2 linked regions of the Xenopus tropicalis genome follow. The protein of the gene in region 2 purifies or fractionates together with the protein of the main gene of each other region. This does not show direct contact. Links are inferred from orthologs where the notes say so. Each region holds a gene or a part of one and is shown on either strand. Other genes may lie near its edges. The genes, in order: lamtor4 and slc38a9.

What was found.
Region 1: the proteins of slc38a9 (region 2) and lamtor4 purify together in Homo sapiens (affinity purification with mass spectrometry; 4 studies listed by BioGRID and IntAct, with this or other methods). This does not show direct contact. The link is inferred for Xenopus tropicalis from reciprocal best matches to the Homo sapiens genes SLC38A9 and LAMTOR4.

The regions. Positions count from the first base shown.
Region 1 is NC_030679.2:143,860,580-143,871,956, forward strand, and holds lamtor4 (ragulator complex protein LAMTOR4), read left to right. Parts: upstream 1-5,660; 5' UTR 5,661-5,698; coding exon 5,699-5,701; intron 5,702-5,733; exon of another isoform or gene 5,734-5,942; intron 5,943-8,696; coding exon 8,697-8,780; intron 8,781-8,936; coding exon 8,937-9,051; intron 9,052-9,312; coding exon 9,313-9,410; 3' UTR 9,411-9,592; downstream 9,593-11,377. Other genes in the region: uncharacterized protein LOC733758, read left to right, coding at 1-121, 2,379-2,590. UniProt on the Homo sapiens protein: As part of the Ragulator complex it is involved in amino acid sensing and activation of mTORC1, a signaling complex promoting cell growth in response to growth factors, energy levels, and amino acids.
Region 2 is NC_030677.2:191,429,128-191,440,547, reverse strand, and holds the start of slc38a9 (sodium-coupled neutral amino acid transporter 9), read right to left. Parts: upstream 7,091-11,420; 5' UTR 7,039-7,090; intron 1,935-7,038; 5' UTR 1,901-1,934; coding exon 1,809-1,900; intron 1-1,808.

The sequences.
Region 1 (11,377 bases), on a different chromosome or scaffold from region 2:
CTGCTTCTCTTTCTCACGTGCCTCCCCTGCGGTGATGGAAGGGAGCCCCCTAGGACTAGCTGGGGTGTCCTGTGTACACAGGGAGTCTTAATGATGTTCCTCTTCATCTTCTTCATTGCTGGTAAGTAAGTGTGCATGTAGGGGTGCAGGGAGTCACAGAGCCAGAAAGTGATGGTACCAGCAGGAAGGGAGTGCAGGGAGTCACAGAGCCAGGAAGTGATGCTACCAGCAGGAAGGGAGCGAAGGGAGTCACAGAGCCAGAAAGTGATGCTACCAGCAGGAAGGGAGCGCAGGGAGTCACAGAGCCAGAAAGTGATGCTACCGGCAGGAAGGGAGCGCAGGGAGTCACAGAGCCAGAAAGTGATGGTACCAGCAGGAAGGGAGCGCAGGGAGTCACAGAGCCAGAAAGTGATGCTACCGGCAGGAAGGGAGCGCAGGGAGTCACAGAGCCAGAAAGTGATGGTACCAGCAGGAAGGGAGCGCAGGGAGTCACAGAGCCAGAAAGTGATGCTACCGGCAGGAAGGGAGCGCAGGGAGTCACAGAGCCAGAAAGTGATGGTACCAGCAGGAAGGGAGCGAAGGGAGTCACAGAGCCAGAAAGTGATGCTACCAGCAGGAAGGGAGCGCAGGGAGTCACAGAGCCAGGAAGTGATGCTACCGGCAGGAAGGGAGCGCAGGGAGTCACAGAGCCAGGAAGTGATGCTACCGGCAGGAAGGGAGCGCAGGGAGTCACAGAGCCAGGAAGTGATGCTACCGGCAGGAAGGGAATGCAGGGAGTCACAGAGCCAGGAAGTGATGCTACCGGCAGGAAGGGAGCGCAGGGAGTCACAGAGCCAGGAAGTGATGCTACCGGCAGGAAGGGAATGCAGGGAGTCACAGAGCCAGGAAGTGATGCTACCGGCAGGAAGGGAGCGCAGGGAGTCACAGAGCCAGGAAGTGATGCTACCGGCAGGAAGGGAGCGCAGGGAGTCACAGAGCCAGGAAGTGATGCTACCGGCAGGAAGGGAGCGCAGGGAGTCACAGAGCCAGGAAGTGATGCTACCGGCAGGAAGGGAGCGCAGGGAGTCACAGAGCCAGGAAGTGATGCTATAAGTGTTTAGCAGCAGGAAGGGAGCGCAGGGAGTCACAGAGCCAGGAAGTGATGCTACCGGCAGGAAGGGAGCGCAGGGAGTCACAGAGCCAGGAAGTGATGCTACCGGCAGGAAGGGAGCGCAGGGAGTCACAGAGCCAGGAAGTGATGCTACCGGCAGGAAGGGAGCGCAGGGAGTCACAGAGCCAGGAAGTGATGCTACCGGCAGGAAGGGAGCGCAGGGAGTCACAGAGCCAGGAAGTGATGCTATAAGTGTTTAGCAGCAGGAAGGGAGCGCAGGGAGTCACAGAGCCAGGAAGTGATGCTACCGGCAGGAAGGGAGCGCAGGGAGTCACAGAGCCAGGAAGTGATGCTACCGGCAGGAAGGGAGCGCAGGGAGTCACAGAGCCAGGAAGTGATGCTACCGGCAGGAAGGGAGCACAGGGAGTCACAGAGCCAGGAAGTGATGCTACCGGCAGGAAAGGAGTGCAGGGAGTCACAGAGCCAGGAAGTGATGCTAGCAGCAGGAAGGGAGCGCAGGGAGTCACAGAGCCAGGAAGTGATGCTACCGGCAGGAAGGGAGCACAGGGAGTCACAGAGCCAGGAAGTGATGCTACCGGCAGGAAAGGAGTGCAGGGAGTCACAGAGCCAGGAAGTGATGCTAGCAGCAGGAAGGGAGCGCAGGGAGTCACAGAGCCAGGAAGTGATGCTAGCAGCAGGAAGGGAGCGCAGGGAGTCACAGAGCCAGGAAGTGATGCTACCGGCAGGAAGGGAGCACAGGGAGTCACAGAGCCAGGAAGTGATGCTACCGGCAGGAAAGGAGTGCAGGGAGTCACTGAGCCAGGAAGTGATGCTAGCAGCAGGAAGGGAGCGCAGGGAGTCACAGAGCCAGGAAGTGATGCTACCGGCAGGAAGGGAGCACAGGGAGTCACAGAGCCAGGAAGTGATGCTACCGGCAGGAAGGGAGCGCAGGGAGTCACAGAGCCAGGAAGTGATGCTACCGGCAGGAAAGGAGTGCAGGGAGTCACAGAGCCAGGAAGTGATGCTAGCAGCAGGAAGGGAGCGCAGGGAGTCACAGAGCCAGGAAGTGATGCTACCGGCAGGAAGGGAGCGCAGGGAGTCACAGAGCCAGGAAGTGATGCTACCGGCAGGAAGGGAGCGCAGGGAGTCACAGAGCCAGGAAGTGATGCTACCAGCAGGAAAGGAGTGCAGGGAGTCACAGAGCCAGGAAGTGATGCTACCTATGAGAAGGAAGTAGTGTTGAGTGAATGGGTTAATATGCAATTAATCAGACTACTCTCTTCCTCAGGCAATGTGTGGGTATATTCTCTGTATCAGGAACCTTGGGACTCTCCAGAATCCCCCAAACGATGTAACCGCGTCCTGTACCTGTACGCCTTCTGGGTCATCACAGCAGTGTACATCTTTGCCGGCGTTGTGGTTATCCTTTATATGTGCGCCCTGTTCTGCCTCGCTCTAGTGGGGGCCTATGTTGCTGCCAGAACCCATGCAGATGCATAACTAAATCAGGTGCTGATTGGATGTGGCCTTTACACCCCTCTGGGGTAACTCAGCATCATCATATCTTTATCCTTTATATCGTTTTAGTCATGTTATATCTGAAATACTCAGCAGCCAGAAATGCAGGACTGTTACTCTTGCAACAAAAGTGTTAAATGGGGGGAGCGCTCAAACTGTAAAATGAATGGAATCTATGGCGAATCCAGATTTATTCAACATCGCACTGTATATTACACTTATTGTTAGTATCAGGTTGGCCTTAACCTTGTTTCTTATCTGTAAATGTTACGGAGACTTTCACCTTATCTGTTCCACTTAATTACTTTAGTGCACTGTTGCACTTACTTTAGTGCAGCCACGGCTCAGGGAGGGCCCTTATCTACCCTGTTAGACGCTCCAGGCGGATTCGTATTTGCTGGCAATGAAATAATAAATCTGAATTCCATCGGGTATGCTTCTTTTATTATACTAAATACTATTTATACTTACTGAAAGGCAGCACTTTTAGATAGGGTCCCTCTATTGTGGAACAAAAAATGGCCAAATGAAATGGTCTCTGCTGTGGGAACTAAAAGGAAACACATACATATATTCAGGGTCATATTTATATAGGCACCCAAGGGACTGTGCCCAGGGCAGCAGCTTTGGGTGCCTATATAATCAACAAACCTGCCCCAGCCGCTGCCAGACCTACCAGTGGAAATCCAGCGGCCACCTAAATACTTCCCTGCATATATTCATGGGTACCAAGGCACAGAGGCGCAAGCTGGGATTGGCCAGAACACTAGAGGCCTCTCAGGCCTATCAGAGAACTCCAGGCAGGCCGAGGCTAAGATTCCTATCGATATCACTAATAGTCAGAGGTAAAGACTGGCAGTGGTGTTTCTAGAGTATGAGGACATTCACATGGCTAGACCCACCTATAGCCAATAAGAGTATAAGGACGTTCAAATGGCTAGACCCAACTATAGCCAATCAGAGTATAAGGACATTCAAATGGATAGACCCACCTATAGCCAATCAGAGTATGAGGACATTCACATGGCTAGACCAACCTATAGCCAATCAGAGTATGAGGACAATTCACATGGCTAGACCAACCTATAGCCAATCAGAGTATCAGGACATTCACATGGCTAGACCCACCTATAGCCAGTCAGAGTATGAAGACATTCGCATGGCTAGACCCACCTATAGCCAATCAGAGTATGAGGACATTCGCATGGCTAGACCCACCTATAGCCAATCAGAGTATGAAGACATTCACATGACTAGACCAACCTATAGCCAATCAGAGTATAAGGACATTCACATGACTAGACCAACCTATAGCCAATCAGAGTATGAGGACATTCACATGGCTAGACCCACCTATAGCCAATCAGAGTATGAGGACATTCACATGGCTAGACCCACCTATAGCCAATCAGAGTATGAGAACATTCACATGGCTAGACCCACCTATAGCCAATGAGAGTATGAAGACATTCTCATGGCTAGACCCACCTATAGCCAATCAGAGTATGAGAACATTTACATGGCTAGACCCACCTATAGCCAATCAGAGTATGAAGACATTCGCATGGCTAGACCCACCTATAGCCAATCAGAGTATGAGGACATTCACATGGCTAGACCCACCTATAGCCAATCAGAGTATGAGGACATTCACATGGCTAGACCCACCTATAGCCAATCAGAGTATGAGAACATTTACATGGCTAGACCCACCTATAGCCAATCAGAGTATGAAGACATTCGCATGGCTAGACCCACCTATAGCCAATCAGAGTATAAGGACATTCACATGACTAGACCCACCTATAGCCAATCAGAGTATGAGGACATTCAGCAAGCCAAATAAGGCTGTAGCCAATCGGTGCATTTAATGTTTACAGGGCTAGATCAACCTGTAGCCAATCAGAGCAGTAGACTATTTGACTATGATCTATGGGTTCCGGTATACAGCTTGTTGCCACTCACTGGGCTAAATCAAAATGTATGTTTGCTGTACACAGATGCCATGGACTATCCTGGATGGTGCTGTTCCCATATAGGAAGCTTCTGGGCCGTATAAACGTTTCCTACTCCCTACTGACACATGGGTGCAACTCATGAGTAACAAGTTTTATGATTAGGCGCTTTGGGTTCCTAGCAGATGGGCGATTCCTTTATGATCTGCAATAGGAATGCCCAGTGTTGGCTGCACCGGATTTTATAGCACAGCCAAGCCTTAAAGGAGTGGCTCCTCTTCCTGACGTGCATAGAGGTGATATTGTTTGGGGGTGTTCCTGGCTCTCTATAATTACTCCCAGGCAGCAGCGGCCTAACACTGCTTGGCTCTGTCATGTTACCCCACTGGGCAACAGCCATAACAAAATGGGGAGGTGGGGAGGAGCTCTTTCATGTACAGACACACGGACTGGCTGAGAGGGGGACGAGGAAGGGTAATGAGAAATGAGAAAGAATTAGAAATAATTGGTCAGAATGATCATTTCATATATACTTATGTGCAGCAGTGTGGCACAGCCACATGTAATCTATATACAGTGTGTGTGTTTATATATATATATATATATATATCTCCCCCTCACACATTTCTCACATTATTGTGTCTGAGGAGAAAATCTTTCACCAAACTCTCTATAAACACTACAACACATAATATTTCTAGACTAAAAATGCTTAGAACGTCACTGGCCGCTTCCAGTTATTACAACACTCTTACAAAGACATTTCACAACTAATGTGGCAAGGCGCTTTGGCGCTGGTTTTGAGCATGTGAAGGTCCCGCCTTATCGTTGCTAAGCGGTATCACTGACGTCCTATTCGCCGGCAGAAGAAAAGTAAAGCCAATCAAACTAACAATAGCGCCCCTGAATTTTAGATTGACATGCAGTTGAACCAATCGGAAAAAAGCATAAGATCATGTGAGTAAGCACCCCTGCCAAACAAAGAGGCGTGCTATAGTTTTACATGACAAAACCAGCTAGCGAATCGCTGTGGTTAGACGTGTGATTGATGGCTGCTAGAACCAGTAGCAAGGGTGGAAAGGCGATGCCGGAAGAAGGAGCGTACTAGCGGTGCTGCCGGAGGGAAGTTGCAGAGATGGTGAGTGGTTGATTGTATGAAGGGAAGAGCGGGGTGTGTGAGGCTTATGGGGGCGGCTGCAATCGGCACTAATGTTCTGCAATGTGGGGCTGTATGTATGGCGCCAGTGTCAGACTGCAGGGGCTTGGGATCAGTAGGTTGCTGCACTACATCAGCCTCCGGGACTTCAGCGCTTCGGGATACGCCCCCCCCGCACGGCTTGTCCGGGACTCGAACCCAATAGCAGCCAATCAGAAGCTTGGTATTATTATTTCTAAACTCCTAACCTTGATTGGCTGCGGTGTGTTAGTTGAATCAGGAAATCTTCGCCCCTATAAGGCAATATTGTGTGTGTGTGTGTGTAGGGCCGCCATCAGAAATCACGGGGCCCCTCACAATAAACTTTTCTGGGCCCCCCTCCTCCCAATGGCCCCTCCGCCAGTGACCACTCCCATCAGTACAAAGGACACACATACATTGGTAGCCAGCCCAGGGCCCCCTAAAACATTGCTGCCCCCCCCCAGTGTCCTCATACTATGACCCACCCCGCTGATTCCTGCTCCCCTACTTCCTCCAGTTTCCCCAACCATCCTCCAGCTCCCCCCCAGCATCCTCCAACTCCCCCCCTAGCATCCTCCAGCTCCCCCCTAGCATCCTCCAGCTCCCCCCAGCATCCTCCAGCTCCCCCCAGCATCCTCCAACTCCCCCCCTAGCATCCTCCAGCTCCCCCCAGCATCCTCCAACTCCCCCCCTAGCATCCTCCAGCTCCCCGCCTAGCATCCTCCAGCTCCCCCCTAGCATCCTCCAGCTCCCCCCCTAGCATCCTCCAGCTCCCCCCAACCATCCTCCAGCTCCCCCCCAGCATCCTCCAGCTCCCCCCCTAGCATCCTCCAACTCCCCCCCCTAGCATCCTCCAGCTCCCCCCAGCATCCTCCAGCTCCCCCCCAGCATCCTCCAACTCCCCCCCTAGCATCCTCCAACTCCCCCCCTAGCATCCTCCAACTCCCCCCCTAGCATCCTCCAACTCCCCCCTAGCATCCTCCAACTCCCCCCAACCATCCTCCAGCTCCCCCCCAACCATCCTCCAGCTCCCCCCCAACCATCCTCCAACTCCCCCCCCCCTAGCATCCTCCAGCTCCCCCCCAGCATCCTCCAACTTCCCCCCTAGCATCCTTCAGCTCCCTCCCAGCATCCTCCAACTCCCCCCTAGCATCCTTCAGCTCCCTCCCAGCATCCTCCAACTCCCCCCCTAGCATCCTTCAGCTCCCTCCCAGCATCCTCCAACTCCCCCCCCTAGCATCCTTCAGCTCCCTCCCAGCATCCTCCAACTCCCCCCCCCCTAGCATCCTTCAGCTCCCTCCCAGCATCCTCCAACTCCCCCCCTAGCATCCTTCAGCTCCCTCCCAGCATCCTCCAACTCCCCCCCCTAGCATCCTTCAGCTCCCTCCCAGCATCCTCCAGCTCCACCCTAGCATCTTCCCCAGCTTCCCCCCCCTCATTCACAGTGCCCCCTAATGCTATGCTGGCCAGGGCCCCCATACACAGTGCCCCCTAATGCTATGCTGGCCAGGACCCCCCATACACAGTGCCCCCTAATGCTATGCTGGCCAGGGCCCCCCATACACAGTGCCCCCTAATGCTATGCTGGCCAGGGCCCCCCATACACAGTGCCCCTAATGCTATGCTGGCCAGGGCCCCCATACACAGTGCCCCCTAATGCTATGCTGGCCAGGGCCCCATACACAGTGCCCCCTAATGCTATGCTGGCCAGGGCCTCACATACAGTGCCCCATAAGGCTGTGCTGGCCAGGGCCCCCCATACACAGTGCCCCCTAATGCTATGCTGGCCAGGGCCCCCCATACACCAGTGCCCCTAAGGCTATGCTGGCCAGGGCCCCCCATACACAGTGCCCCCTAATGCTATGCTGGCCAGGGCCCCCCATACACAGTGCCCCTAATGCTATGCTGGCCAGGGCCCCCCATACACAGTGCCCCCTAATGCTATGCTGGCCAGGGCCCCCCATACACAGTGCCCCCTAAGGCTATGCTGGCCAGGGCCCCCCATACACAGTGCCCCCTAAGGCTGTGCTGGCCAGGGCCCCCCATACATAGTGCCCCCAATTTCCCCAATACACAGTGCCCCTAACGCTATGCTGGCCAGGGCCCCCCATACACAGTGCCCCCTAACGCTTTGCTGGCCAGGGCATCCCATTGACAGTGCCCCGTAACGCTATGCTGACCAGGGCCCCAGTTGCCCCATAGACAGTGCCCCCAGTTGCCCCATAGACAGTGCCCCCAATTGCCCCCATAGACAGTGCCTCCAATAGCCCCCATAGACAGTGCCTCCAATAGCCCCCATAGACTTTGCCCCCATAAACAGTGCCCCCAATTGCCCCATAGAAAGTGCCCTCCGAAGTCAGCGTCTTCTTCTGCAGCTTCTTCTTCAGCGACGACTTCGGGCTCCTCGAGACAGGCCCTTTTATAAGGTTAGGTACTGATGTCACACATGTACGCATGGGGCGCGACCAATCGGATGACAGGGCCCGTAAGAAATTAAATGGGGCACGAGCCAGTCAGAAAACTGTAGCACGGCCGGGCCGCCCTTTAAAAGTGAAGATTGGCCAGGTACTGTGCCCCCCTGATGGCGGCCCTAATAACAGTAATGATCCAGGCCTTCAAAGTTGCCCCCAGCAGCTCCCCATCTTGGATCTGGTTAGGCACCTTGTGTGTGCCAGTGGCACTGCACGTGCTCCGTGGGCTCTGGGCTGCTGCTTAGGGGTCGTGGGGAATCATCACACTATTAAGCTGGTGCTACAGCACTATCAAGTCTGATGCAGACTGCACTGATTTCTATGCCGCCATGTAATGTGAATCTGAATTCATTACTAAATCGCGAAGTGACAGCAGGGCAAACTTGGTGCCTTTATTAATGTTTAAAGAAGCTGTTAGTGGGGTTTAGGGGGTAACTTGCATACATTGGGGTACAGTAACCAGTCTTTCTCCTGTTCCTCCTCAGACCTCCACCATGACGCAGGGCCTGGAGCGGATCCCAGACCAGATGGGGTATCTGGTAATGAGCGAGGATGGAGGGGTGCTGGCGGTAAGGCAATATAACCCTTTGATGTTGTTAAACTACTACTCCCACCGCCACACACTGTCAGGGCATTCTGGGAGTTATCTGATTTATCATTTTCTCTCCTCGTGCCATGTTACCATGACAACCACTGAAATGGGGGACCTTTTTGTGTCCTTACAGAGCGCCGGTGATTTGGAGAATGACGAACGCCTGGCGGGAGTGATCAGGGAGATGGTGGCCGTAGCGTGCTCCTTCCGGGATCTCGGGGACCAGCAGCCATTCAAACGCATGAGTAGTAAGAACGGGGGGGGGAGCGATAGGAGAGATGGGCACACAGCGGGGCATGTACTGGGGTACACTATAATGTCTGCTCAGGGATTTCCTGACTCCGCCCCATCCCTCCCAACCAACCAAAACTGGTGTTTCTATAAGGGGCGGGTATGGGCTGGGGTAAACAGAGCAGTATGGGAGAATTTGCCCTAATCGAGGGGCTGGGGGAGTCCTGATGGAGCTTTGAAGTCCAACTCATTCCTTTGCCCCCCTTTTCCCCTCGCAGTCGTATTTGGGGAGCACACGTTTCTCGTCACCATTTCCGGACAGAAGATCTACGTGGTGAAGCGGCAGAACGTGGTGCGGGAGCCAATCAGTGTCTAGCAAAGCCTCACCCTCCATTCTCGTGCCCAATATGAAGTGACTGTACTACACGGCCTATTTAATGACCCCCCCACTGTTGCCCTAGCAACCTTTTCCGCAGGATCGAATGTTCCAGCTCTCTGCTGCGGGTTACACGGGGGGCTTCCCATCCCCTAATAAATATATATATTGTTGGTACTGCCTGGGTCGGGCCTGCCTCTCTCATTCCTTAGGGTCGCATTAAAGGACAAGTCAAACCCAAAATGCCCTTTTATATGTGCAGTGCTTTAATGGCTGCTGTGCTCTGTCCCGTCTACTTCAGCTTCAGCTCCCCCCTGGTCCCCCATAACCTATCCCTATGGGGAATACCTGACACCACACCCCCTTGTTTCTTTTTAGAGTAGAAATGGTTTTTGTAAAGAAAACGTGGGGATGATAGTATGTTCCAAAGGGCGTATCCCTTTAAATTCACCTTGTTGGATGTGGGAATCCCAGGCTGCCCCACCCAAGATGGTGGAACAATGAATGGGGGATGCTCTCTCCTACCAACATGGCACCTATGGATTTAATACAGGAAATAAGCCCCTGCCAGTTTTTTGCCGATGTGGTGTAAATAGGACTCCTCCCACATCCAACCCACTGTATAATGACGAGGAGCAGCCATGCAGGGCCGCCCACAGGGGGGAGTTTTCCCAGGCACGGGCGATCCTCGTTCTTTAAAGGGGGCCCGGTCGTGATACAGTTTTACTAGCTCGGGCCCCCTTTAAAGAATTACGGGCCCTGATTGGTTGCGTGTGACGTCAGTAAGCACGGGGCGCAACCGGATAAAAGTGTGGGATGCAGCTGAAGGATGGAGGAAGCAGGAGGTCGCTGGGGGGAGCTACAGGAAGCTGTAGGTCGCTGGGGGGAGCCACAGGAAGCTGTAGGTTGCTGGGGGGTGGGGGGACCTGGAGGATGTTGGGGAGGATGCTAAGGGGGGAACCTGAAGGATACTGCGGGGGGGGGGAGCTGTGGAGGGAGGACGCTGGAGGATGTTAGGGAGGATGCTGGGGGGAGGACCTCCAGCGTCCTTCCCCCCAGCATCCATCCTAGCATGTTAAGGAGAATGCTGGGGGAGCTGGAGGATGTTTGGGGGAGGACGCTGGAGGATGTTGGGGAGGATGCTGGGGGGAGCCACAGGAAACTGTAGGTCGCTGGGGGAGGGGGGAGCTGGAGGATGCTAAGTTGGGAACCTGGAGGATAATGAGGGGGGAGCTGGAGGGAGGATGCTGGAGGATGTTAAGAGGGATCCTGGGGGGAGCTGGAGGATGTTGGGATGGATGCTGGGGGGGGGAGCGGGAGGATGCTGGTGGAAGGACGCTGGAGGATGCTAAGGTGAGGTGGGAACCTGGAGGATACTGAGGGGGGATGCGGGGGGGGAGCTGGAGGGAGGATGCTGGAGGATATTAGGGAGGATGCTGGGATGGATGCTGGAGGATGTTAGGGAGGATCCTGGGGGGAGCTAAAGGATGCTGGGGGGAGGACGCTGGAGGATGTTGGGAAGGATGCTGGAGGACATGTGGGGGAGCAGGAAGCAGCGGGGAGTGGGCTATAGTATGAGGACACTGGGGGAGGACCATCAATGTTTTAGGGGGCCCTGGACTGGCTAGCAATGTTTTAGGGGGTCGCTGCCCTAGCACCAATGCAAAATGTAATCCCTGGCTACCAAAGCCTGTGTGTCCTTCCTACTGATGGGAGGGGGCAGGGTGTGGGAGGAGGGGGCCCAGAAAACTTTGTTGTGAGGGGCCCCGTGATTTCTGATGGCGGCCCTGCAGCCATGGATATAGTATACACAGTGGGGCAGAAAGAGAGACTTCACTGACGCTCGTTTCCTTTAAACCTCTGTATTTTTTTTTTGCCTTTGTTCAAAATAAATTAGAGACATTTATTAAAACATAAAGTGCGCGGCCGTAACACAGGGCAACACATAAGAAACAACATATAAAAAC
Region 2 (11,420 bases):
TTCTACTCCAAACAGACAAATAGCAAAGCTCACCTAAATTTAGCGGTTTTCATAAAAATTTTGAAAATCACCTCAAAGATTGCATTCTACAGCATCTTATCTCCAACATGTCATTAGGTATTAACATGAAACACTCTAAATATAAAAGCTTGGGGTCTACTGAACAGCTTGATGCTCAATGTGCATAGATTGTGACATGTACGGACTCTATAATAGTTTATAACAATTTTTCTTGTTGATAGCTGCTGTTAGATAAGCTCTCTGTATGTGTATTATGCGTCTAAAAGAGATCCAGAAATTAAACTTTTACATTACCTATCTGACAAGTAGTGTCAGTATCACTTTAAGACCCCATAAAAGTATGAAGACCCTAGAAGACCATATGTTTTTCAAATGTACACATTCACACAAATGTAAAATGGGTAAATGTCTTTCTACTGCAAACTACCAAAGCTTTCCTTAAAACAAGAACAATAATCAAAACTAAACATATAGCATAAGCAAGAATAAAATTATGAAAGTCAATTAAATCATATAAAATAATTCCTCCAGTTCTGAAATGGCCAAATTGTCCACTTCTCAAACCCTGTTATATGTCAAGCTGTAAAAAGAACTCATGCTCTCAATCATCAACTAACGGAAGCAAACTGTATCCGGTAGTACTCTAAAGTACACAAAGATTCCTTATCTGAAAAGCCACAGGTCCGAAGCATTCTGGATAATAGACCCCAAACCTGTATGATGACACAGCTTTATGTATGGACAGAAAATGATTTTGCTACATATATTAATATAACTTATTAGTGGAAGCTGCCTCGTTTGGCACTTTTGAGGCAAGTCTGGTAGCACTTCATATATTTTAAAAGCCCCACCAGTGTTCAATATGAAGAGAATTGTTGTTGCTGCTTTGAATATTTAGTTTGATAACATTCTAAGAAAACAGTGATTTTTCCTCCCTTTTTAGTGGAATTTTGTCCAAGAGGATTTCCTGCTGAGACATGTGACCATTGTGTAAAAAAAACTTCTAGGAAATGTAATATCAACTAATGGTACAAATGCAGTGGCTAGATATAATTTATTTTTATTACATTTACTACAAAAAATTCATTATTCCGAAATAAACATTATTTTAAAGAACTGCAAACATACTCGTGTTCCATATGTATGTATGAAACACCATTTCAAATGCCCCGATCTATATCATTACATTACACAAGCAATCTATTATTATTAATTATGTTAAGGGATTATATTAGAGATCTCCAACCACTAACCTACAGGCTGGGCAGAAAACCAAAAAATAATAACACGTAGGAACACAAATGTGGAAATGGCAACATATTATACAGACTGCTTAGGACCAGGGGTTTTCCAAATAAGGGATATTTCCATTATTTGGGTCTCCATACTCAAAGTCTGTTAAAAAAGATTAAATAAACCCAATAGGATTGTTTTGCCTCAATAAGGATTAATTATATTTTAGTTGGGATCAAGTACAGGTACTGTTTTATTATTACAGAGAAAAGGGAATCATTTAACCATTAAATAAACCCAATAGGGCTGTTCTGCCCCCAATAAGGGGTAATTATATCTTAGTTGGGATAAATTACATGCTACTGTTCTACTATTACTGAAAAAAGGGAATATTTTTTAAAATTCCAAATTATATGCTTAAATGGAGTCTATGGGAGATGGCCTTTCCATAATTTGGAGCTCTCTGGGTAACGCGTTTCAGGATAATGGATCCCATACCTATGCAACACTTCAGCCTTTAGATATAATTTGCAATTAGCACATAAATACATTACCTTCTGCTTCTAGGATCTGTTGCAGCAAAATGATTCTGGGCACATTCTTCAAACAATGAAGGATTAATTAAAGGTGTCTGGTCACTGTCCATTGTTGTTGTTACAGGCTCAGTTCGATAGACAGATCTATAAAACAAGACAACAAAGGCTTAAAAAAAAAAAAAAAAATTATATATATATATATATATATATATATATACACATGAATAGTAAGGCTGATATCCCAAGTTCAGTTGCCCACGACAGATCTCTGCTATCACGGGTGACTAACCCTTCCGAAATGCTCCAGAGGAAAGCCCTTTGCATCGCTTCCGTATTCCGAAGTCGCGCAAAGTTGCCTCCTGGCATTTGTATGGAATTACACCAACATTATTATGGAAAAATGCTGTGGAGGATATTAGCGTTTTAACACACATATCAGCTAGGTGTATCTAAAATGCCCGTGATTTGTTCTGCTGCCCTATTTATGTTTCCCACAAACCACCTCCTCATTACATTAATATGAACATCAGCATGCATGCTGCTGCACATAATAACACAAAATGCAAACAAACTGTTTGAAGAAAGGCATATTTGAGGACTGTATGATTATATTGATAATGAGCCACCAAAATGCCTGAAGTGAATGCAGGGACCTGAACAAAGGGTATAGCGGGAATTCTGTAATATTACCATGTAATAATGTCATATAATGAAAGAAATGATCGCGTAAATTAAGCAATCATCCTTAATATGCCAGCAATCCAGGCAAGATCTTATGTGTGGTAAAAACACATTGTGACATATTTTGGCAGATATCAGCATGTAATGTGTGTGTGTTTTACAACAAGCATGTTACAGTGATTATTTGGTGCTTTTATGCCTTGATTGGACTTCATAATAATATGGGATAAAAACACAGCGTGTAACATAGTGTGAAGGGTTTATATAAATAAGTTGCTGTGTAGCCATGGAGTAAGTTATTCAAGTTAAAACTGGGCTATAAGGCACACACTTACATTACAGATAAAGGAAAAGGAAAGGATAATGGCATTACAATTACTTTAAAATGCATGAATACCCTTTAAAGGGGTGGTTCACCTTTAAGGCAACTTTTTGTATGTTACAGAATTACCAATTCTAAGCAACTTTTCAATTTGTCTTCATTATTTATTTTGTATAGTTTCTGAATCATTTGCCTTCTTTCCAGCTTCTAAAGGGGGTAGCTGACCCCAGCAGCCAAAAAACTATTGCTTTGCAAGCTTACAATTTTATTGTTGTTGTTACTTTTTATTACTTATTTTTCTATTTAGGCCCTCCTCTATTCATATTCCTGTCTCTCTTTCAAACTACTGCCTGCTTGCTAATTTTGAACCCTGGCAACCAATGAACTACTGAAATTCCAAAAAGGAGAGCTGCTGGAAAAAAGTCAAATAATTAAAAAAAATAAAAAAATGAAGATCAACTGCAAATCATACTCTACATCATACTAGAAGGTGAACAACTTTACTGGCAGTGCTATACCTGCCAATGTAGCAGTTTACCAGGGGCAATGGACTTTTATGTTTATGGTGCAGGGATGAGAGTTATTCTGACTAAAAGTACCATTTATTCCCATTGTAGGGTTTAACATTAAGATCATCACTTGTTTTTCGTTGCTGCAATCTATTTTACCTTTACTATATGGCTAAGGCCACAACAGGCTGTAACTCCACCTGCGTATAAACACAAGAGGAGAAAAAGACAACTCCTATTTGCAGTGTCAGCCTGTACACAAACATGACAGATGTCGGTGTGAAAATGCATAGTTTTGCATTACTACTCAAAAATCTGCTCCATGTGTGTGCACACAAGCTTAGACCACTGCTTGTCAGCACACTTACACCACAGAGTAGATTGTTTTATTCTCCTCCTGTATTTATATGCAGGCAGAGCAGCAGGAACAGTTTGGCATTAATCTGCGTATATCCTACTCAGTAAAGGTGATGTCCCATGTTAGCCATTCAAAAAGTTATAGGGAAAGTTATTAGTCTTCCCCCAGCATGGGTGACAAAATGCAAAAAAAAAAAAATCCCTTTGCATTAGTGTCAGAGTGAATCACTTGTGGTAAACCATCTGAATCATGTAAGCCCTGAAAACTACCTTCTCCTGCATTTTCCATCGCTTATGTGATTCAAATGTTTTACCACTGGCCATTTACATTCACACAGATAAATCAGTATAAGTGTAAAATTAGAGCTCACCACAGTAAAACTCTCCCACTCTATTCATTCCTATGGGATTTTAAGAGGTGCATTTGGCAGTGGTTGAAAGTTAGAGTTCACCATTTGATAAATATGCCTCTAAAAATCCCATAAGAATAAACAGATAATGGGGAACTTTTACTGTGGTGAACTCTCACACGTAATAAAACTGTCCCTAATGCAAATGTATTTACTTCTGCTAAAGTAGATTACATTCCGGTGACAAAACTTACCAGGTGCTAATGCCCTTAGACTAAACGTAGGTGTCATGTTTACAACACTTTTGTTATATATAAAAAGTTTTACCCTATAATTACCCTGTAATTTTATGTTTCACTGGAAGGTTTGTCTTTTGCGAGCTGGCTGCTAGAAGGGATCCAGCTGCTGTAAGGATACAGGTTTCTAGTTTGCAATGGCTCTGTATCTTTAGGCTTGTATCAAACAGGACCTATCTGACAGCCTCTGCCCTCTCCCATATCTGCAATTACAATACTGCTTTGCCCTGGATGCAGCCACATTTCAGATTTCTGTGCATACTCAAAATCCATGAGTATGCACCCAGGCTGATACAGTGCCTGTGAATGCAGGCACAGTAGAGGGCAGAGGCCAAAAATTGGTTTTGGGCTTATATTGCTCTTTATATTTTCAATCAAATACCAAATAAAGGTACTTTTTACTTTTTTTTTACAGGCCAAAAATCAGCCAGTCTGATGACCTCAGCAATAAGCCCTGTGTGACACTAGCCTTAGAGTAGAGATTCTCATAACTGGGTTAAATGGGATGGCATTGGCTTAAATCCTACAATAAAAAACTTCGGAAAGCCACCAGCTCCCAAAATCTCAGGGACACTCACAAGTCCACCAAATGCACTAAATTCATCTTGTAAACCTTGTAATGTAGGGCTTACTGAATTACTGAAAGACCTATCATTTAGACTAATGCCAGATAGAGCTGATTCTTGGACAGCAGATAAACGCAGGGTGAAAATCAGCCGCTACGCTGGTGCCAGAGCCAGGTGCTGGCACGAGTAAATATTAGTGCTGAAATGCATACTTGTGCGTTTGGTGCCAAAGTCCACTCCGTGTGCCTGCACCCAGCCCCATGCAATGATTCAAGGTGCTGGCACAGGGAAAGGCTGATGCCAATGAAGAGATGAATTCTTGGTCCATGTTTATCTGCATCTGAGAATCAACCGCATCTGCCATTAGCATTTCTACCTTAAGTTAATGTTAGACCAGGCGTATGTCGGTATTTTCGGCAAGCGTTTTTCAGCTTGCCGAAAATATACTCCATACGCCTGGTCTGACATTAGCCTAAGTATGCAATATAATGCTTTTTTCATTATAAACAGTAATAAAAACTATGCTATGCACTAATATACAGCAGCTATCTGGTTGCTAGGGTCTAAATTACCTTAGCAACCAAGGAATACAAGTTATAAAAAGTAGAAATAGAAAGTAGATAGAAAATAGAAAGTAAAATTGTAGTCTCATGGAGCAAGTTTTCAGGCTGCTGGGGGTTAGTGACCCCTGTTTGAAGGCTACAAAGAGTTAGAAGAAGAAGGCAAATAATTTAAAAACTATAAAAAATAAACAAAGAAGGCCAATTGAAAATTAGCTTAGAATTGGTCTTTATATAATATACTAAAAGTTAACTTAAAGGTGAACCACCCCTTTGGTGACCTTGCCAAACAAGTGGATCTTCTTCCGACATGCTCACACAAGGTGGGCATCAACAAGCCGATACAGTCCCCAATCCAATGGGAAAATCAAACCTGCCCAATTGGGATCTGGCTGGTCAGGTACGCCTGTTGAGAATGCCCATACACCGGCAGAAGGAATCCATCTGAAGGATCTGAATCGGAAGCTGAAATCTGCCCATTTTTGGCCACCTTAAGCACCCTTTGCAGGCCTAACTTTTGGCCAATGGCCTGCTTAAAGGAGAAGGAAAAGCTAAGTCACTTGGGGGTGCCAAAATGTTAGGCACCCCCAAGTGACTTGAATCGCTTACCTTTTACCCCGGGCTGGTGCCCCTGTATGGAGAGACCAGCACCAGCCCGGGGTACCTGCATCGCTTCCTCCTTCGCCGCGCGCGCATGCGCAGTAGAGTGAATAGTGGAACTTTAACAGAGAAGTCGGCTTTTCACTCTACTGCGCATGCGCCGGACTCACAGTCAAGGCTTAACGAAGGCAGAAGGATATGGCACATCGCCCCAGGTGCCCCGGGCTGGTGCGGTTTTCTCCTAATAGGGGCACCAGCCCGGGGTACGAGGTAAGCGATTAAAGTCACTTGGGAGTGCTTAACATTTTAGCACCCCCAAAGTGACTTAGCCTTTCCTTCCCCTTTAAGGCGGTCATACAAGAAGATTTCATCCTTCTTTAGACAAACGTTCGGATGTCGATCGTATGGTTCAATGCAATGATCTAAAACTAACATTCAGAAATTGTAGGATAAAGTCGCATAAAATTATTGGCAGACAACAATTGTACGAAAGCGACGTCTCAGAAATACACTGCAGGTTACCCAAGGATTTCCACAGATACACAATAAATACATAGATTTTCATCATTATACGACCCAAATTTTCTAACCTGTGCGATCGACTAATGGACCTGCCCCCAGCCCCCTCCTTGCCATTGCTATGGGTCACACAGTCAGGGAATTGCTGCTGTAGGAATTCGGGCCTCATTCCACAAGTCTAACCCCCCCCCCCCCTTCCAAAAAAGTTGTAAGTCACTGAGCCATAAAAGCAAGGCTAAGGCAGGACACTTTAACTCACAACTGGTTGCACAGAAACGCTGCTGTACGTAAATAGCGCTACTCTTGCTGCAGGGATATATCTATATATCTACGAACCCCACCAGACAAAATAGCCATTCCCATACAAAGTTAACGCTTAATTAATTAACCAGACATTCGTATTCTTTAGGCCCGCCTGGTGCCCGGCAGTGCTGGGTTTATTCGGCGTAAAGCCAAGAGCATAAGTGAATCTGTAACAAATGATGTACCTTCCACTACACCAAGCGACCGGCTTCCATGCTCCTGCAACTTCCCTGAAAGCTTCAAAACAAGACGCAGCTGAGTTAGGTTAGGCAGTAACAGGCGACAAGCATGGTGGGAATGTAGTCCAGCGCTCCTTATTTCCTGCAAACAACCCACAGGAGCGAACTACATTACCCACAGTGCATCGCTGCACTACGTCCGCGCTTGTTTTGGTGAAGAAAGAAGTGCCTTACTGCTGAGTGAGACGTTCTTTTAACCAAACAAGCAAGAAAAATTGCAGATGAAAGAGCTTGTCACTGACTGCAAGGACTTACCGGATGTCAGGCGCAAAAAAAGACAAAAAACCGCAAAGAAAAAATTACAGGGAAAAGCTATTTTGCAGTTGATTCACTGTATAGTTGCGCAACCGTAAGGCTGGTTTGTCAGAATGATTTTTATGATGTTTAATTTTTTAAATTGCTTATATAAAAAAAAAATTATATTTCATTATTTGCTAGTTGATTAAAAATATAAACAGCAACTAAATAAAACTATTTTTTTGTGGTAGCAGCTTGGAATGGATTGGATTGCTGTAGGCTTTATCTTGTGCAATAGCTTAATACCATGACTGTGTGTGCCATACTCTGCCTTCCCTACCCGGCCTGTTTGTGCCATACTCTGCCTTCCCTACCCTGCCTGTGTGTGCCATACTCTGCCTGCCCTATGCTGCCTGTGTGTGCCATACTCTGCCTTCCCTACCCGGCCTGTGTGTACCATACTCTGCCTGCCCTATGCTGCCTGTGTGTGCCATACTCTGCCTTCCCTACCCGGCCTGTGTGTACCATACTCTGCCTGCCCTATGCTGCCTGTGTGTGCCATACTCTGCCTGCCCTATGCTGCATGTGTGTGTCATACTCTGCCTGCCCTATGCTGCCTGTGTGTGCCATACTCTGCCTTCCCTATGCTGCCTGTGTGTGCCATACTCTGCCTTCCCTACCCGGCCTGTGTGTGCCATACTCTGCCTTCCCTGTGCTTCCTGTGTGTTCCCCTCCCTGCCCTATGCTGCCTGTGTGTGCCATACTCTGCCTTCCCTGTGCTGCCTGTGTGTTTCCCCTCCCTGCCCTATGCTGCCTGTGTGTGCCATACTCTGCCTGCCCTATGCTGCCTAGGCCAGGCAGTACATACAATCAGGGTCGGACTGGGCTGCCGGGATACCGGGAAAAATCCTGGTGGGCCCCAGCTCTAGTGGGCCCTGGCGGCCCAGACCTGGCCCTTGCCTGCGCTCCCCCCAGCGAGGGGGGTCAGGGGGGCCCCTGGGGGGCAATTAGGGGACGCGACCGGCGGGGGCCCCTGGGTCAGGAGCCCTGGTGGGCCCTTTACCCCCCAGTCCGACCCTGCATACAATGTCTGAGGTGTGAACAGGTAAACAATGTAAGTGATTACAGCCTGAGGCTGAGGTGTAAGCTTTATCAGAAAGGTTTATGTAAATACAGCCATTAGCACTCACAGAATAGCTGCAGGGTTTCTTGCATAAGAACTCACTTCCCCCTCCCTTAGGAATGTGTGATCTGAGCTTCCAGTGGCTATAACTGCAGCAGGAAGCTACCAAGACCAAGCTAAAATGGCAGCTGCTATTGGAGGGAGCTTCTAGGGCTCTTTACTCAGGTATAGTAATGCTTTCTGCAGAATAAATATAGCGTTCTAGGTGGCACTAATGTGGCAAATCTATTGGCAGTAAAATGCCAAAAGGACTTTCCTTCTCCTTTAAAGAGCAGCAGGAATTGTTGTAACAGTTTTGCAGTGTATTTCATTGTTTTTTATAATATCACTATACTATTTACATTGATATTCTGATTAAGGTTAGGCGCACAGTTTAAAGTCATTGAAACGAGGAAAAGAACAGCACCCATACAAATGGTGGAAGCTATAATACACCCTGTAACATGCACACTACAATAATCAATAAAAAATGCACATCTGTATTAAAGAAAAGTGAGCTACAAATTATATATAAGATGTCAAAAGATAAAAACATTTAAAAACCACAATTATCCCTTGGTCAAAGCCTTCAGATGCGATACTTGTGGAGGATGGTGCTTCTGAGCTGTTGTTACACTACATATGTTATAATATGATTGGTGATTTATCTATGATGATACTGCATAACAACTTGCATCAGGGTTTCCATTATGGAGGCTATGGGTATATGCAAGATTATGGGGGAGCATTTTGGTTTTTAAAGATTTTTAACTTTTGACATCCTGATTTAATAAAGAAGTATTTGATTTGCTATTGATTATTTGAGTGCGCATGTTACAGAGTCTCTTATAGCTCTCACCAGCTGTATGGGGGCTGCTACCCATACCCTCTGCAAGTAGTACTACTATTTACATTTTAAAAATCATCATATAGGGCTACATTTGTGTGAAATTACAGCTCCCTACAGAAAAACTCACCCACTTTCTATTCACTCCTATGGGATTTTTAGAAGCATATTTATCAAAGGGTTGAAGTTCACCATTTTATAACTATGCTTCTAAAAATCCCATAGGAGTAAATAGAGCTCATTTAAAAAAACTCACCCGCTTTCTAATTTCACACTTAGGGGGACATTCGTTAAAGCACAAATTTTGGATTGTTAAAAGCATGATTGGAAAAATTTCGTAGTAACCATGATAATTTCTGATGTGTGTAAATTGCGTGAAAATTCATGTCGTGGTCGTACGAAAATATCGTGGTTGCGATCCGAAAGTTACAAAATTTTCGTATTCAAACGATTGTAAACGGCGCAAAAACCTTTCTGACTTTGAAACTTCAATGCATGATTTTGGAAGTCTCCCATAGGGCTCAATGGCACTCTGCAGCTCCAACCCGGCCCAAGGAAAGTCTCCCATAGGGCTCAATGGCACTCTGCAGCTCCAACCCGGCCCAAGGAAAGTCTCCCATAGGGCTCAATGGCACCCTGCAGCTCCAACCTGGCCCAAGGAAAGTCTCCCATAGGGCTCAATGGCACTCTGCAGCTCCAACCTGGCCCAAGGAAAGTCTCCCATAGGGCTCAATGGCACTCTGCTGCTCCAACCCGGCCCAAGGAAAGTCTCCCATAGGGCTCAATGGCACTCTGCTGCTCCAACCCGGCCCAAGGAAAGTCTCCCATAGAGCTCAATGGCACTCTGCAGCTCCAACCTGGCCCAAGGAAAGTCTCCCATAGGGCTCTATGGCACTCTGCAGCTCCAACCCAGCCCAAGGAAAGTCTCCCATAGGGCTCTATGGCACTCTGCAGCTCCAACCCCGCCCAAGGAAAGTCTCCCATAGGGCTCAATGGCACTCTGCAGCTCCAACCCGGCCCAAGGAAAGTCTCCCATAGGGCTCAATGGCACTCTGCAGCTCCAACCCGGCCCAAGGAAAGTCTCCCATAGGGCTCAATGGCACTCTGCAGCTCCAACCCGGCCCAAGGAAAGTCTCCCATAGGGCTCAATGGCACTCTGCAGCTCCAACCCGGCCCAAGGAAAGTCTCCCATAGGGCTCAATGGCACTCTGCAGCTCCAACCCGGCCCAAGGAAAGTCTCCCATAGGGCTCAATGGCACCCTGCAGCTCCAACCTGGCCCAAGGAAAGTCTCCCATAGGGCTCAATGGCACTCTGCAGCTCCAACCCGGCCCAAGGAAAGTGTCCCATAGAGCTCAATGGCACTCTGCAGCTCCAACCTGGCCCAAGGAAAGTCTCCCATAGGGCTCAATGGCACTCTGCAGCTCCAACCTGGCCCAAGGAAAGTCTCCCATAGGGCTCTATGGCACTCTGCAGCTCCAACCCAGCCCAAGGAAAGTCTCCCATAGGGCTCTATGGCACTCTGCAGCTCCAACCCCGCCCAAGGAAAGTCTCCCATAGGGCTCAATGGCACTCTGCAGCTCCAACCTGGCCCAAGGAAAGTCTCCCATAGGACTCAATGGCACTCTGCAGCTCCAACCCGGCCCAAGGAAAGTCTCCCATAGGGCTCTATGGCACTCTGCAGCTCCAACCCCACCCAAGGAAAGTCTCCCATAGGGCTCATTGGCACTCTACAGCTCCAACCTGGCCCAAGGAAAGTCTCCCATAGGGCTCAATGGCACTCTGCAGCTCCAACCTGGCCCAAGGAAAGTCTCCCATAGGGCTCAATGGCACTCTGCAGCTCCAACCTGGCCCAAGGAAAGTCTCCCATAGGGCTCAATGGCACTCTGCAGCTCCAACCTGGCCCAAGGAAAGTCTCCCATAGGACTCAATGGCACTCTGCAGCTCCAACCCGGCCCAAGGAAAGTCTCCCATAGGGCTCATTGGCACTCTGCAGCTCCAACCTGGCCAAAAGATAGTCACGATACCAAAGCTTGAATGAATTCCGAAATTTTCGTTGTCGTTGCGCAAAGTTCGAAAAGTAC